Arabidopsis thaliana: one gene and its partner. The protein of the gene in region 1 interacts with the protein of each later gene in a pairwise test. Each region holds a gene or a part of one and is shown in the gene's direction. Other genes may lie near its edges.

Region 1 (8,811 bases):
GTAAGGGCAATGGTGATCATTAACCCTGGGAACCCAACTGGCCAGTGTCTAAGCGAAGCTAACATAAGAGAGATATTGAAGTTCTGTTATAACGAGAAACTGGTTCTTCTGGGAGACGAGGTTTATCAGCAGAACATATACCAGGATGAGCGTCCCTTTATCAGCTCCAAGAAGGTTAGCTTCTATATTTGGTTTCATGTGTCTAACCTTGTGCCTGATTTGTGATCTCTCTTTTGATACGACCATTCTTAAAAAATCATAGGTTTTGATGGAAATGGGTTCGCCGTTCAGCAAGGAAGTTCAGCTTGTATCTTTTCACACAGTCTCTAAAGGATATTGGGGTGAATGTGGACAGCGAGGTGGATACTTTGAGATGACCAACCTCCCTCCAAGGGTCTGTCTTACTCTCTGTTTACTTACTTATGTAATGTGTCAAACATAACATAATCATAATACGATTTCTGAATTTGCAGGTTGTTGAGGAGATATACAAGGTTGCATCAATTGCCCTCAGCCCTAATGTCTCTGCGCAAATCTTTGTAAGTCAAAGGTCTTAAAGTAATGTGGATTTACTTTTCTAGAAATCATTGGTATGTTCTGCGAGTGATTATTACCTGTGCAGATGGGTTTGATGGTTAATCCTCCAAAGCCTGGAGACATTTCATATGACCAGTTCGCCCGTGAAAGGTATATATATAAGCTTACATGCTCGTGATCATCATCCCTGGATTGAATAACAAATCGCCCTTTTGCACATTTCTTTAGCAAGGGGATTCTTGAATCTTTGAGAAGAAGAGCAAGGCTCATGACAGATGGATTCAACAGCTGCAAAAACGTCGTGTGCAATTTCACAGAAGGTAAAACAATAATGAAGCAATTAGCACCTGTGCAGTGTAGAAAATTTGGGAGTATATGTTGTTGAAGTTGATCCTTTAATTCTTGGTGTAAATGTTAGGTGCAATGTATTCGTTTCCTCAAATACGGTTACCAACGGGAGCTCTCCAAGCTGCAAAACAAGCTGGAAAAGTGCCAGACGTTTTCTACTGTCTCAAGCTCTTAGAAGCCACAGGAATCTCCACAGTACCTGGCTCTGGATTTGGACAGAAAGAAGGGTAAAGAATCTGCTACTACTGTTTCTTTCTTGCTCATCTGATCTCTTCTTATGAACTCATTCCACTTGTGGATTTTGACAGTGTGTTCCATCTGAGGACAACAATCCTGCCAGCAGAAGATGAGATGCCGGAGATCATGGATAGCTTCAAGAAGTTCAACGACGAGTTCATGACTCAGTATGATAATAACTTTGGTTATTCGAAAATGTGATTACTTCTTCTTCTGAACGACTATTGTGTTCTGCTACACTCTTTAAAGCTAAATCTCTGTAGTACACTCTTTCTCTTTGCCCTATTCTATAAACCATATCTCTCTCTTTGTGTCTCTTTTTTTTGGGTGTAAACTCTCTCTTGTGTCTCTATTTCTATTTTCAATTGGAAACTGATTAAGATCTTTTCTCAATGAAATGAAGTTTAGGCCATAGATTATTTTTTTTAATCAACGGTGATAGCCTTTTTTTAGTGTGGCAATGTGAAATTTGTAATTATGCTAATTATATTAAAGAAAATAATAATAATCCATGTCCTAGTTTGTTTTTGATTATGAAAAAAAAATCGTCTTTAATATAATTTTATTAATGTGATAAATCCAAAGATATATGTATTTATTCCCTGTCTATTCTTCTTGATACTTTGAATTTCTGTTTTCTATATTTCGTGTAAGTTATGAATTTTGCGGGAAAAGAGGTGCAGAGTAATAACAAGGGTAAGGAAGAAAACATAGAATGAGCAAAGACGGAGAAGAAGACAATCTGTAATGGAGAGAAACTGATCAAGATTCTCTCGCCGGTTAAGTGTCAGGTGACGATGGTTGAGAAGAAGCCAGAGAAAGAAGATGAGGAATAAGAATAAGAAGAGTGCGCAATGCCTAAAGCAGAGGAGTTTAGGATTTCGCAGCCGCTTGAATGTCCACCGGCTCCCAAACCTAAACGCAGAAGAAGCAGAGATTATTCTTCTCTGTAAACTAGCAGTTTTTCTTAATAGATAAATAATTAGTTAAATAATAATTGGTTAATTGTTTTGAGAGACACATGTCTACATTTGTCGCTTATTGATTGGTTGATGTTTTCTTAATAGATAAATAATTAATTAAATAATAAAACTATATAGAAAAATTAATATTTTTATTTGCTAGATTCTCAAATGTGTGTGTCACCGATGAAGGTGCTCTGATGGATTTAGGTATTGATTAATTAGGACATATCTTACTTTGTTTTCATTCTTAAAATTATTGTTTATGTACAAACAAATCAAAAAATTATCTTTAGATTTAGTGACTAACTAGCGCGATGCAATTCAAGTTAAAGATAATCTGATTAAAAACGAAAAATTATATGTTAGTATTTATCTAACATCGACATTCTTCAGAAAAATAACATAAAATTATGTGGTGAGTTAAGGTTTCAAATAGGGGTGTCAAAATGGGTCAAAATTCATGGGCCAACTCAACTCAACTCAACCCATGAACCCTAATGAGTTAAATTTTTTGACTCAAATGAGTTGATGAGTCAAATGAGTTATTGGATCAATTTGTTTGATGAGTCAAATGAGTTGGGTTGTAATGGTTAATGGTTTCAATTGTTTACCCAATTAACCCATCAATTTTTGTAAAATTGAATTAAACCAACTAAAATCTCTAAACCAATATCAATTTAAGCTTAACCAACACATCTAAACCAATTTAATAAAATCAATATTTTTCCAAATTTCTTAAATATACAAGCGATGAAATTGAGAAAAAATAAACTCGTAATTTTTCCACCAAAAAACATAAATCCGTGATTTTCTCGCCAACAAAGTAAACCCGTGATTTTCCCGCCAAAAACGTAAAACCGTGATTTTCCCGCCAAAAACGTAAATCCGTAATTTTCTCGCCAAAAAACAAAACCTGTGATTTTCCCGCCAAAAACGTAAACCCGTAATTTTCCCGCCAACAACGTAAACCCGTGATTTTCCCGACAAAAATGTAAAACCGTGATTTTCCCGCCAAAAACGTAAATCCGTAATTTTCCCGCCAAAAACCAAAACCTGTGATATTCCCGCCAAAAACCAAAACCTGTGATATTCCCGCCAAAAACGTAAACCCGTGATTTTCCCGCCAAAAAACGTAAACCCGTGATTTTCCCGCCAAAAACGTAAACCCGTGATTTTCCCGCCAAAAACGTAAACCCGTAATTTTTCCGCCAAAAACGTAAACTCGTGATTTTCCCGCATAAACGTAAACCCATGATTTTCCCGCCAAAAAACGTAAACCCGTGATTTCCTCGAAAAACTATATGTTAGTATTTATCTAACATCGACATTCTTCGGAAAAATAACATAAAATTATGTGGTGAGTTAAGGTTTCAACTTTCAAATAAGGATGATTTTCTTTTGTTGTGAAAATTATTCAAACATAAAATAGTATTTAAATAATATATTTTAAGAAACTATAATTAGCCTTTGATTAATGAATGTAAATTTTGTACAGTTTTTGGCTCAATTAATGTGCTTTGCAATTTGCACAACCCAATTCTAAGCAAACTACTATTAGAAAAGATTAATTTTATAATAATGCTCAATTGCTCATTGTTGAATGATAGATACCAAATGACTTGAGTTCAGTCAGCTAATTTCAGAAACTAAAATTGGGTGATAAAGTTCACTACAAGTTTGGAGACTACGTAAGAATAGTTAGACCACTTTGTCCTCGTACAATCCACTGCATCTCTAAATTGTGGTACGATACTAGAATTTTGAAAAGCTAAAAATTATAGTACCTAACATAAATTTGTGAAAAAAACAAAAAAAACCTAACATAAATATTGCATACAAATAAAACTCTATATATGCGTTATGCATGCATGTCTAAGAAATTACTATCTCTCTTTTGCTAGTAAGACATGGAAACTCTCAACGTTGATCATGAAGATACTATTTCCTCAGAACAAGAACATCGAGCACATACCAAATCCGACACCGACATGCCTCCGATCTCCGGCGGTAGAGACTTCATTCGACAGTTTGCGGCTGAGTCAAAGAAGTTGTGGTGGCTCGCTGGTCCTGCGATATTCACATCTTTCTGCCAATACTCTCTTGGCGCCGTCACGCAGATCCTCGCCGGACACGTCAACACGCTGGCTTTAGCTGCTGTCTCCATACAGAACTCCGTCATCTCCGGCTTCTCTGTCGGCATTATGGTAATATAATTAGTTACTTTAAGCATACATATCTATGACAAATGTGTAACACATTTTTTAGTTGATCCATTGTTCATAATTTATTCTTTTAAACTTAAAATTGATTTAAGCTTGGGATGGGAAGTGCACTAGCGACGCTTTGTGGGCAAGCGTACGGAGCAGGGCAACTAGAGATGATGGGAATATATCTTCAGAGGTCTTGGATCATCCTTAACTCTTGTGCCCTTCTTCTTTGTCTTTTTTACGTGTTTGCCACTCCACTGTTGAGTCTCCTCGGACAGTCTCCGGAGATCTCTAAAGCAGCCGGGAAATTCTCCCTCTGGATGATTCCTCAGCTCTTTGCTTACGCTGTTAACTTCGCCACCGCCAAGTTCTTGCAGGTAACAACATCAAAATCAGTTTACTTGAGGTAAATTCAAGTTGTTTGGTTATGAGATTGATTAATTATTATAGGCACAAAGCAAAGTGATTGCGATGGCGGTTATAGCAGCGACTGTGCTGTTACAGCACACTCTATTGAGTTGGTTGCTGATGCTGAAACTTAGATGGGGAATGGCCGGAGGAGCCGTTGTATTGAATATGTCGTGGTGGTTAATAGATGTTACTCAAATAGTTTATATTTGTGGTGGTTCTTCTGGCAGAGCTTGGTCAGGGCTCTCTTGGATGGCGTTCAAGAATCTCAGAGGCTTTGCAAGATTGTCTCTTGCCTCTGCAGTCATGGTTTGGTGAGATATCGGAACACTTTGGAGTCAGATCGATACATAAATGGTTCATTGATGGGTACACCTAGTGACTTGCTGTTTGTTGGTTTCAGCCTAGAGGTTTGGTATTTCATGGCGTTGATTCTGTTTGCGGGTTACCTCAAGAACCCTCAAGTCTCTGTAGCTGCTCTTTCGATATGGTGAGTTCTAAGTCCCTGTGAAAGCTTCTGTTTTGGTTAGGAACGGAATTAACGGTTTGGTTATAGCATGAACATATTGGGATGGCCGATCATGGTGGCCTTTGGCTTCAATGCGGCTGTGAGGTATATCACAAAGTCTCTTAACAGAAAAGAAAAAAAAAAGCTTAATGATTGGAAAAAATGATGTGTTATATGTGCAGTGTAAGAGAGTCGAATGAGCTAGGAGCTGAACACCCAAGAAGAGCAAAGTTCTTATTGATAGTGGCTATGATAACTTCTGTATCGATCGGAATTGTGATATCAGTGACTCTCATTGTGTTGCGAGACAAGTATCCAGCAATGTTCTCAGATGATGAAGAAGTGAGAGTACTCGTGAAGCAGCTGACTCCGTTGCTGGCTCTCACCATCGTCATCAACAACATTCAGCCTGTTCTTTCTGGTAGTTTCTCTAACAACACTCAAAAACCCTAGGCTGCTTAAATTTAGCATGATTGTGTATAAGACAAAATGTGTTTTGGTTTTTGATATTGGTACAAAAGGTGTAGCTGTTGGAGCTGGATGGCAAGGCATTGTTGCATATGTGAACATTGGGTGTTACTATCTATGTGGTATACCAATCGGTCTTGTGCTCGGCTACAAGATGGAACTTGGAGTGAAGGTAAGTAAAATCTCGAAATCTAACCTTAATAAAGAACTTGCATACATGATAAGCTTCAAGTTGATATAAACACACACACAACTACAGGGGATATGGACAGGAATGCTAACGGGAACAGTAGTTCAAACATCTGTTCTACTTTTCATTATCTATAGAACCAACTGGAAGAAAGAGGTAAAGAAGCAATTGTCAAATTCTAGTATCAGTTTCAGTGTTTGTGTATTAAAGTTTATGCAAAATGTCCAGGCTTCATTAGCAGAAGCTAGAATAAAAAAATGGGGAGACCAATCAAACAAAAGAGAAGAGATCGATCTCTGTGAAGAAGATGAAAACAATTCAAATGGTGAAAACAATCACAGGAAATGATCATTAAACAAGTCATTGCAGATTCGTAATAAACAAAACAACCATCCCAGAAGAAGAATCAGTTATTCCCAAATTGATCAAGCTAAGCTAAGACTTTGTTGTAAGAATCTAAACACTATTGTGACATTGAGTTTGAGGTTTACCCAGACATAATCTTTGAAACCAGTGAACATAACACGCAATGATCTTGAAGAACATGACAACATTGCAAATGCAGAGATGAATCAGATCACACAAATAATCCCAAAATTTCCAAATAATACGAAGCAAATTATATAATCCAATACCATAGATTAAAAGATCTCTGATTCCAAAATCCAACAAAGCTGAGTTCAATAACATGAAATAAATTAAAAAGAGACTGAATTGAAAAAAAAAACTAAGCAGTGAGAACAACAGCACCACCAGCTTCCTTAATCTTCTTCTCAGCAGTCTTAGAGATAAGCTTAGCCTTCACAACGAAAGGTTTGTTCTCAGGCAAATGACCTTTCCCCAAAACCTTGAAGAAACCATGCTGCGTCACATCGATCAACGGAACATTATCCTTGCTCGATTTCGCCTTCACGTCTTCAGGAACAAGTGACCATAGCTTGTCCAGGTTCACGATTGGGCAAAAGAACTTGTTACGAAGCTTGTGGAAATACCTCATACCAACTTTCCCGAAGTAACCTGGATGGTACTTGTCGAAGAGGATCCTGTGGTGATGCATACCTCCTGCGTTTCCACGACCTCCGGGATGCTTACGGTGCTTACCGATACGTCCATGTCCGGCGCTGACGTGACCTCTCTTCTTTCTGTTCTTCTTCAACGCCGTCGCCATTTTAGTATCAGATCTAGGGTTTTGAACCAGAAATGATCTTAAAGGGTTTTTATATAGAGAGGATTTAGCAGCTAGGGTTTTCGGAGAAACAGAGATAGTGTATTGTCTTTTGGGCTTTTTAATAATTTGGCCCAATTATACCACAGGTTATTTATGTTATTAAATTGGGCTATGAGGCCCATTATATGAATCCCTAATATCAGGTTTAGTTAACCACTTCACTTTTGAGTTTTTCGACGACAGTTGATCGGCGCCGTCCTTGACAGCTTCTCCTTCTTCTTTTTCTTCACTCATAAACCCTAAAGTCTCGCCCGAAAGCTAAACCCTTTAGCTATTTTCAAGCTTCACCGGGAAAGATGCAACACGATGAGGTTATATGGCAGGTCATTAGGCACAAGCACTGTAGTTACATGGCCAAGTATGTATTTTTTATCCTCACTTGTTAGCTTTCAATTTTCATTTGTAGCTCAATTTGTTGATGGGTTTGTTTTGTTCTCTTTTGCTTTTCTAGAATCGAAACTGGAATCTTTTGCAGAAACCAATATAATGTAACAGGAATCTGTAATCGAAGCTCTTGCCCTCTTGCTAATAGCCGATACGCCACTATCCGTGACCATGATGGTAATTTTTAGAAAAGTGTCAATCTTTGAGCTGATTCTGTGTGTTGGAATAGTTAGGATTGGGTGTTGATTTAGTTTACGTAGTAAAGGGCAATTAGAAAGATGTTTCTTTTGAGTTTAGTGTTGTTGTGGTGGTTTCTTACAAATGGATTTTCTTGTGTTGTTGTTGTTTATACAGGAGTGTTTTATTTATATATGAAGACTATTGAGAGAGCTCACATGCCAAATAAATTGTGGGAGAGAGTTAAGCTGCCTGTAAACTATGAGAAGGCTCTTGAAATGATTGACAAACACTTGGTGAGCTTGAGATTTATTGCCACAGTTTATTTCTTTACTCTTCTTCTTCATTAGCAATGTCAATGTCTTATGATCTGGGAGGGTTTTAATTATTTTCTTTCTTACGTGTGGCAGTTGTACTGGCCCAAGTTGTTGCAGCATAAGGTTAAACAAAGACTGACTAAAATGACTCAGATGCGTATTCGTATGAGGAAACTTGCTCTGAAAACAAGGTCTTGTCCTCTTCTGGTTTTTGTTTGTGGAGTTTGGTATCTTGTTTGATTTACATGTGTCTAATTCTTTTCTTGTTCTGATTAATTATTTGGTACTTTTGTTTTTGAATAACAGGGAGGTAGTAGTCACTACGCCTAGGAGGCAAATAAAGAGGGAGTCGAGAAGAGAGGAAAAGGCTATAAAAGCAGCTCAGTTGGATAAGGTCACGATTTGTTGTTTTTGGGTTTTGATTTTTACTTGCTTCACTCTAGTTCTGAGGTTTTCATGATAGTTTTGATTCTTTTTTTACAGGCTATTGAAACCGAGTTGATGGAACGTTTGAAGAAAGGCATTTACCCTACTGAAATATACAATTTATCTGACAGTGTGTTTAACAAACTGCTTGATAGAGAAATCGAAACCAACGACGAAGTTGAGAAAGAAGAGGAGGAGGTACTTTTGTAAAAGCCGTGTAATTTTGGTAGTCCATCAAATCTAGATGCAACATCTTTCTACTGATCTTCATTCATTAACGTATATCTCAGGAAGGAGTGATTGAATATGTTGAAGGCGATGATGAACTCGAAGCAGAGGAAGAAGAAGACATGGAAGACTTCTCTGGTCTTCCATCTAAGGAGTCTTACCTTGAAGGTGATGATCATGGTA
Region 2 (8,850 bases), on another chromosome or scaffold:
AAAATGTAGTTTAGTTCAGAAATTCGGTAAACAATATTAAGATCTGGTAATAAGAGACATATTTTTTGTAAGTTTAACCATTGCAATTTCAAGGATTTGTTCTTGTGGTTTAGCCCCTTTTAGTCTCAGTAAGTATTGTGTGTTTAATCTTGGACCGGATCCTTTTGTACACAATATTTTACAATATATGCAATTTCAGATATGATCAATACAAAATATACTTTTTTAGATAGAATTTTAGAAACACAGGCTCCATGTTCTTAAATATAAGGCCAAAAGGGAAAAAAAAGTTCCCACTATCTATCGAATACTTGTTAGATCAAACGATGATATATTATTGTATAGAACTACAATGAAAAAATGTATGGTGTAACTGTGTATTAACATTATAAACGTGATGGTCGTGTCGTGAGTAGGTAGTTTTTTTCCTTGGTCAAATAGTATAAGTTTTCTTCTCTGTTTTATAATATTTTAAATGAAAATATTTTACTTTTCTACAATGTTTTATATATAGTAGATAATACGAGATATGATTGAACCCTATCAACTTGCTTCGCTACGATTTTCAACAATTTATCTCACAAAACCAATAAAATGTCCACCCGTTATCAACGTGACACAAACACATCAAAGAAGGGAACAGTTCTACTGGCCACCTCATGAGTCATGACTCAACCATTATTGTGTCCTGGACTTCTTTCTAGAATGTAAATTGATGAACGAAAATTTCAGCTCTGCCCTTGGCTAAAGCGGCTGAAGTCCATGCTTTAGGCACACAAATTTATAGATAGTTGTAAAAGGTAACAAATTTCGAAAATGTTTCGTAATCTAGTGGTTATTTCATAGATTAATGTCTTATTAGTGAACGGTTAGAATTTTAGCTTTGTTTTTTGTGACTTTTAATTAGAAATAGATTTAAAAATGCTTAACAATTTTAAATAAACTTAAATATGTTTTAGGCATTAAAATCTGTTGGGTTAGTTCTGTCGAGGCGGATTGGACGTTGGTTTTTTTGTATATAAATTAGTGGGCTTCATGGATAGATCCATCGTAGATCACAAATTCATGTGGATAAACTCGTCGCAGATTGTGGGTTGCCCGTAAAAGAAAAATCAACTCTTTTAAAACATAATGTTTTTTCATAGAGGATTTCAATCCTTTTGTCTCTGTTAGAATTTTTTGTGCAGTTCAAAAACCCTAATCAAAGTATTTCACGATCACTTAACAAGAAATCTGAAGAATCATTCTCTATTTCTTCAAGTTTCTTTTTATGACCACATCAAAAAAAATTAAATCGTCGAAACTTTTGATTTTAAGTCAAAACAGAGCATTTGTAAACTACACACTTGTAATGGTAAGTTATTTGTGAATACACATCCATGATTAGATGTTTTATTTTTGTTTGATTGATTCGCAAGTAGTGACTAGTTTTGTATTTTGTTACTGATATGATTCGTTTGACTCCGAGTATTTTAGATCTAATAATCTGGAATATCAGAAAGTCATTAAGTTGAAAAATGCTAAATCTAAACGACAACAAGCTAACAATGAACCAAAAGGACCTAAAAAACTGGAAAGAAAACTAAGAGATGAAATAGGAGCACCTAAGCCACATAGAAAAAAGGTGAATGAACCAGAAACATTTAAAACCCAAAGAAAAAAGGGTGATGAAGCAGAAGCATATAAAACAGAAAGAAAAAAAAAGTTTGATGAAATTGAAGAAAAAAAGTCTGTCTTCATGTTCGTTGCACTCGTCGTGAACCCCGAACCTCAAATGATTTAAAGATTAAAAAAGTATTAGACTGCTTTCGATAATTCCTTCTTAGTTCTATGAAACACTATAATCTATTTAGACTACCTCAGCGTATCAATATTTTTTTCTTGTATAGAATATCCAATCACGACCAATCGAATTTCATCAATCTATAAGAATGCCATTCTCATGCAATTTTTCTCTTATAGCCAACATGCTCATGCAATTTTGATTATTTACTTAAATAAATAAATAAATAGAAGTTTATATAAGTGTCAATAATAAGCTTAACCTTGAGATTCTTTGAGAAACGTTGCATTTATAGAAGAATTTGTCAGTAATTCTAGTAAGATACGAGCAATCAATTGGTATTTTTGATTGTTACTTCTCTCATCTCACAAGTTTGAATGGTTACGGCAGTTAAGATGGATAAATCCGTCAATGGTTTAATCCGAACTATTTTTAAAGTAGACAACAAACCGTCGCAACCAACTCTATTTATATGTAAAAACGGTATGTGGTTGATCCGCATCAGTTTTCTTTTTTAAATCCACACAGAAGTAATTTGTGAAATGGTAAATAAAACGTGGTCAAATACACAAACGAATTTGTCCACCTTAACCACAACAATCATTTAGACCCTAAAATTGATAATAAATGGACAAGTGAACATAGAAAATATGGCAATTTATGTTATTTTAGACAATCGAAGCGATTATTTAGGCGTTACCTGAGAGTCTAGTGCCTAGATAGAGTGTAAACGACCGCCTAGACCATTTTTTATAATACTGAACTTTTGTAATCATTTATTTCGGAGGTGGTGCACACGACAATGCCTACATTACTCGTGAAAACTATATTATACCTCAGAATACCAAAGTCCATGTTCCCGATCCCAATATCATCAAAGAGTTGGCCCATATCAAATGCTATGTTAATTTTTCTTATCTTTTCAAATTATTCTAATGTTGTGTTGCCAACGACTGCTTTTACTTTATAATAGAATAGAAATAATAGAAGTTAGTTTCCGCGATTACTATTATATGCTTACATTTATACCGGACTAGTTATCTCCAGAAGAAAACCGTCCGTTTTCAATTTGAAAACAGTCTGTAAAAGAAAGACTTACATTTATCTAATGCGGATTTGTATTGTGTGTGTGTGTGCTTTTTTCTTACATGTATTTATTGGTAATGTACATTTAATTATATGTCAAGGTGGTTGCTGGTGTGTGTAAGGTTTCATAATCTGCTAGAATAGTTAAGAGGTCACCTTCATTTACCAAATGGATTTTGTCTTCTAATTGATTTAAATCCATTTTTTTCTTTTATTCTTTGAATACTTTTTCATAATTATTTCGTATCCTCCACACTAACTCATTTCTACTTTGCTACATTTACAAGTTTCATCTAATCTACTTAAATTAACAAAAAAAAAAAAAAATTGTTTCCTTATTTAAAAATTAGATTTCTCGTAAATTGGACTTTGATTTTAATTATTGTCTATTCAAAGTTTTATTTTTTTACCTTAAAAAGTGTTGACTTTGATATTTCATTACCTTAAGAAGAAGAATCACCGACAGCTCCAACTTAGGAAATCTCAACCGTTGATTAAATCAAACGAGATACTAAAATATCCAACGGCCATAAATCGTCCAATTGCCATGTTTCTTCCCACTCTCTTCTCCTTCATTTAAGAAATTTCACTCTCCGAAGAAGAAGACGAAATCGAGCAAATCCATGGCGAAAGTTCGGATTTTGATCTTCACCCTTGTCTTATTCTTCTCCCTCAATGTCCATATCCATGGATTTTACCTTCCCGGCGTCGCTCCACAAGATTTCCAAATGGTCAGCCACATAAAATCATCTCTGTATCTGTATTTCACAAATGCAGCTTCTTCTTAGAGCTTTGATTCACACTGGGTCTAGATTTTTTTCTGATTTAGATCCAACGCAATCGATCAAGTAATCTTGTTAAAATTGGATCTATGGCTCTGTTTTATGAGATTTGGGTAATTTTGATCTTCAGTTACCACTGAGTGTTGTGTTTAAAGAGAATGTTTCATTAGTCTATATGTATTAGCCATTGTTTAGACTTGTTTCTGTGTGAATCTAGCTTTTGGAGTAGAAGAATGTATAATGGTCATTATCTATAAAGGTTCAAACTTTGGAGTTATGGTTTTGTTTTTCAGGGAGATGCATTGATGGTGAAAGTTAATAAATTGACATCTACAAAGACTCAGCTTCCATATTCCTATTATTCTCTTCCTTATTGTCGTCCAGAACATATTGTTGATAGTGCTGAGAATCTCGGTGAAGTTCTTCGTGGTGATCGAATTGAGAACTCTCCTTTTGTGGTATGTTCTTGTTTCTTCTTGGTTCTTTCTCTATCTGTCTTGGTTAAGTGGTAGTTGTTGAGTTGTTTTTAATGTCTGTTTGTTTCTTTGTTGCAGTTTAAAATGAGGGAATCGCAGATGTGTGCTGCGGTTTGTCGTGTGAAGCTTGATAAGAAAACCGCAAAGGCGTTTAAGGAGAAGATTGCTGATGAATATCGAGTTAACATGTGAGGAGATTGATTTTGTCGCCTTCGACTGAATGTGTTTTGTTTTTCTTCTGTTTTTATGAGGAAGATTGATTTCTTATGCAGGATTTTGGACAACCTTCCCCTAGTTGTTCCGGTGCAAAGGCCAGATCAGGACAATGTTGTAGTGTATCAGCATGGTTTCCATGTTGGTCTCAAGGGAATCTTTGCTGGCGTAAGAGCTCATCATCACCTTTTCTGAATATGTTTCAATGGAAAGAGTTCTTATTTATTTGATTTTCTTGTAGAAAAAGGAGGAGAAGTATTTTATCCACAACCACTTGACCTTCACTGTTAGGTATCACAGAGATATACAGACCGATTCTTCAAGAATCGTTGGCTTTGAAGTCAAGCCGTTCAGGTAGCTTTTTGTGATTTAAGGACTTTGACTCTGTATTGTGTAAGCGACTAACATCTACTGATTTTATCTCGATGCAGTGTCAAACATGAATATGAAGGTCAATGGAATGAAAAGGCTCGGTTAACGACTTGTGATCCGCATACAAAGCGTGCAGTCACTAACTCTGAGTCTCCTCAGGAGGTTGAAGAAGGGAACGAGATTATCTTCACATATGATGTTGACTTCCAGGAAAGTGAGGTGAAATGGGCGTCTAGGTGGGACACTTACCTTCTAATGGCTGATGATCAGATTCATTGGTTCTCAATCGTTAATTCTATGATGATTGTTCTTTTCCTCTCTGGTATGGTCGCTATGATCATGCTAAGAACACTCTACCGAGATATTTCCAACTACAATCAGTTAGAGAGTCATGAAGAGGCCCTCGAAGAGACGGGTTGGAAATTGGTACACGGAGATGTTTTCAGACCGCCAACAAACCCGGAGTTGCTTTGTGTTTATGCAGGCACTGGAGTTCAATGCTTTGGAATGATTCTTGTCACCATGATCTTTGCTTGTCTTGGCTTTTTATCTCCTTCAAACCGTGGTGGTCTTATGACGGCTATGCTTTTGCTTTGGGTTTTCATGGGACTATTGGCAGGATACGCGTCTTCACGCCTCTACAAGACGTTAAGAGGAACCGAATGGAAAAGAAACGCTCTGAAAACCGCATTCATGTTTCCCGCTACCGTCTTTGTCGCCTTCTTTGTCCTTAATGCGATAATCTGGGGACAAAAATCATCCGGTGCAGTCCCATTTGGTACAATGTTTGCTTTGGTTGTCCTCTGGTTTGGTATCTCTGTTCCACTTGTTTTCATCGGTGGCTACATTGGTTTCAGAAAACCTGCACCGGAAGATCCAGTGAAAACCAACAAGATCCCGCGGCAGATCCCAACACAGGCCTGGTACATGAACCCAATCTTCTCCATTTTGATTGGAGGCATTCTCCCATTTGGCGCAGTCTTCATCGAGCTCTTCTTCATACTCACCTCAATATGGCTACATCAGTTCTACTACATATTCGGCTTCCTCTTCATCGTCTTCATCATTTTGATCATCACTTGCGCAGAGATCACGGTCGTCCTCTGTTATTTTCAGCTGTGTAGTGAAGACTATCAATGGTGGTGGAGATCTTACTTAACATCAGGCTCTTCCGCGGTTTACCTCTTTCTTTACGCAGTCTTTTACTTCTACACCAAACTTGAGATCACAAAGCTCGTCTCTGCAGTGCTCTACTTTGGGTACATGCTCATAGTTTCATACGTATTCTTCGTCTTTACTGGTGCAATTGGTTTCTACGCATGCTTTTGGTTCACCAGGCTTATCTACTCTTCGGTTAAAATCGATTGATCTTTAATCACCTTCTTAGTAAGCTGTATCTTAAATCTTGTTCTTTTTCGTTCTTTTGTTTCCTCCTTTTAAATTTTGTGATGATTTTGAGATATGTAGACATAAACTTTTATTTTATTGTAAACATACATAGAGCTCAAGAGTACAACAATTGTCTCATAATAACAGCAACTTGTCACACACTTTTATCAGCAATCTCAGTTTTTATTTCTTCCATTCTTAGTAGATTAGAAACTAAGTTTGTTACTACTGCAAGGTCATACAGTTTACATTTTTTTAATAACTGTTTCTAATCGACAATTTTTTTTTGGAATTCATGAAACTGCGTACCTCATGTTTTTAGGAACATAGTTTTCAGAATATTAAAAATGAAATAAAAAATAATGAACTCGATCGACAAGGTCAAGTCAAGATAGTATGTGGTAGATAAACAAAAACAAAAAGAAACGTATGTGGTGGATAATTTAGAATTGAATGAGTCAATCAGTAGTCTATATGGACCAGTGGCACAAATCACTGAGCAGAGATGCATGAAGAATTAGGAGGATAAGAAGTCCGACGAGTTCACACGATAGATTGTTCTCGAAGTCAAGAACTAAACTCCAGAAGTGTTTTTATTTTCCTTTTTTCTTATTAAAGGCATACTCAGAAGCCATAGTCATAACCTATTACTTACCACACACTGCACACACATACACACAGAAAGTAATTATGAGTCCACAACAATCTTATTGCTTTTCTGGTGTTACGTTGTATTCCTTCTTTTTGGTTTTCTTTGTTCTACACACATTTGCTTCTCCTACGCTTCACTATTGCCGCCATGACCAAAGGGATGCTCTTTAAGAGTTCAAACACGAGTTTCCGATCAATCAATCCAAGCTAGATCCTTATTTTGCATCATTAAGTTTATGGAACAAGAGCAGTGATTGTTGTTATTGGAAGGGTGTCAAGTGCGATGCTAAGTCTGGCAAGGTGATTTCACTTTACCTTAATTACGTCTTTCTCAACAACTCCTTGAAACCAAATAGTGGTCTTTTTAAACTCCAACATCTTCAAAAATTAACCATTTCAACTTGCTATCTCTATGGGGAGATTCCTTCTTTATTCGGAAACCTTTCCCATCTCACAAAACTTAACCTTCTCAATAATAGATTAGTAGGTCAAGTTCCATATTCATTTGGAAACTTAACCCATCTTAGGCACCTAGACCTTAGTGAAAACAACTTAAGTGGGAGAACCAGTTCAAGGGACATATAGAGTTTGGGAATACAACTTCATCGCCTAGGCTTATTGGTATACACCTTGGCGATAACAAATTTGATGGCTCAGTCCCTGAATCTATATCTAAATTTTCGAAGCGCAAAATGTTCAGTCTTACAAACAACAATTTCATCGGGACAATCCCAAAATCTATATCACAGTTACATAACCTCTATATCCTTGATCTTTCCTACAATAAGATGGAAGGAACAGTACCAGGTTGCTTATCAAGATTGACATGGTTATCGCTTTCTCACAACTCTTTTAGTAGTATTGGAAAGTCATTAGAAGTTCTAGATAGAGCTCCAATGCGTGTATTGAGTCTTGAGTCAAATTCATTCCAAGGACCGTTTCCCCATTGGATTTATAAGAAAAGTCAATAGAAATTTTGCTTCCCCACAGAGGCCGAATATCTCCAAACACTCTTTCTTCTTGGACATGTTACACATGATGTTGAAATGGACATAAAGCCCGCTGGCCTGAAAGGATACGGTCTTATTTTGTGGACCCGAACCCGTTTAAAGACACTATATAATAGGTTGACCCGTTTAGATTTGACTACTAATAATGGATCTGAAAAATACTAAAAAGGTAGCCCGTTTAGACCTAATTACTAAATTGTCTGAATAAGATGCTAAAAGTCTTTGCTTTCACTATTCTAGTGATTTCTTTCGGAAATTCCAGAAATTTGATTCGAAATGATTTGTGGATTTATTTGAATGAAATCCACAATTTTCTGAGTATTTCGAAGGAGTCAAGACAAAAATTTCCCCTCTTAATCATGTGAGGAAATGAAGCATATCTTGTTCTTTGTTTCTTGATTTACTTTCTGGTAGTAATGGATAACTAGAGAGATTCAGTGGAATGGCCAAAATCTCATAAGTAGAATTTCATTGGTTTTGCACTGAATATTAGATGGCTTTATGGCTCTGAAAAAGCAGCTCTTGCCGGCCAGTTTAGCATGTTTTTCAACAGACAAATATTTAATAATTATACCTTGATAATGTATAAACAATCTTTTTTTTTATGTTGTGTTTATTGTTTGCCTTGGGATCCAAGTGAACAAAGAAAGCAAGTCAAGGTTTATACTCCATTTCACTACAAATTTTAGTTATCTGCAATAATCAAACCCACTGTTTCTGTTATCAACATAGCAATCTTTCATGTCCTCATTTCCCATGTTTTTTTGTTTATTAATATATATATATATATATATATATATATATATATATATATATATGTATCCATACTCAAATTATTCCATCTATATCGTAGTGACACTGCAATTATAATGATAAGGTGTTCATTTTAGAGTAGTGCAAGACTATTGTAGGAGAATTTAATTTGTATGGGAATGTGACTATGTTTGTTACTCACGAGCAGATTTTAAGGAAGTTGTGAGATAAGAGATTAAAAATTAGGTAGAACTTCTAGGCATTGTCTGATAGTACCATTGGCAGTGCCGTCTCGATATAACCTATGGCAAAACCAAACAAAAATTAAACCTCTT

Evidence for each region. The genes of interacting proteins can lie anywhere in the genome.
Region 2: the proteins of AT1G23300 (region 1) and AT2G24170 interact in a protein complementation assay, tested with the Arabidopsis thaliana proteins (one large-scale study listed by BioGRID).

The regions. Positions count from the first base shown.
Region 1 is NC_003070.9:8,261,232-8,270,042, reverse strand, and holds AT1G23300 (MATE efflux family protein), read left to right. Parts: upstream 1-3,994; coding exon 3,995-4,291; intron 4,292-4,401; coding exon 4,402-4,671; intron 4,672-4,744; coding exon 4,745-5,016; intron 5,017-5,105; coding exon 5,106-5,192; intron 5,193-5,258; coding exon 5,259-5,315; intron 5,316-5,392; coding exon 5,393-5,631; intron 5,632-5,731; coding exon 5,732-5,850; intron 5,851-5,937; coding exon 5,938-6,024; intron 6,025-6,096; coding exon 6,097-6,216; 3' UTR 6,217-6,595; coding exon of another isoform or gene 6,596-7,036; 3' UTR 7,037-7,104; downstream 7,105-8,811. Other genes in the region: GGT1 (glutamate:glyoxylate aminotransferase), read left to right, coding at 1-174, 263-394, 474-539, 623-687, 766-857, 956-1,112, 1,194-1,323; RPL27AB (Ribosomal protein L18e/L15 superfamily protein), read right to left, coding at 6,596-7,036; AT1G23280 (MAK16 protein-like protein), read left to right, coding at 7,393-7,454, 7,548-7,657, 7,835-7,953, 8,068-8,165, 8,281-8,368, 8,458-8,598, 8,691-8,808.
Region 2 is NC_003071.7:10,271,537-10,280,386, reverse strand, and holds AT2G24170 (Endomembrane protein 70 protein family), read left to right. Parts: upstream 1-3,120; 5' UTR 3,121-3,198; intron 3,199-3,265; 5' UTR 3,266-3,492; coding exon 3,493-3,600; intron 3,601-3,944; coding exon 3,945-4,109; intron 4,110-4,205; coding exon 4,206-4,315; intron 4,316-4,399; coding exon 4,400-4,508; intron 4,509-4,581; coding exon 4,582-4,694; intron 4,695-4,771; coding exon 4,772-6,080; 3' UTR 6,081-6,288; downstream 6,289-8,850.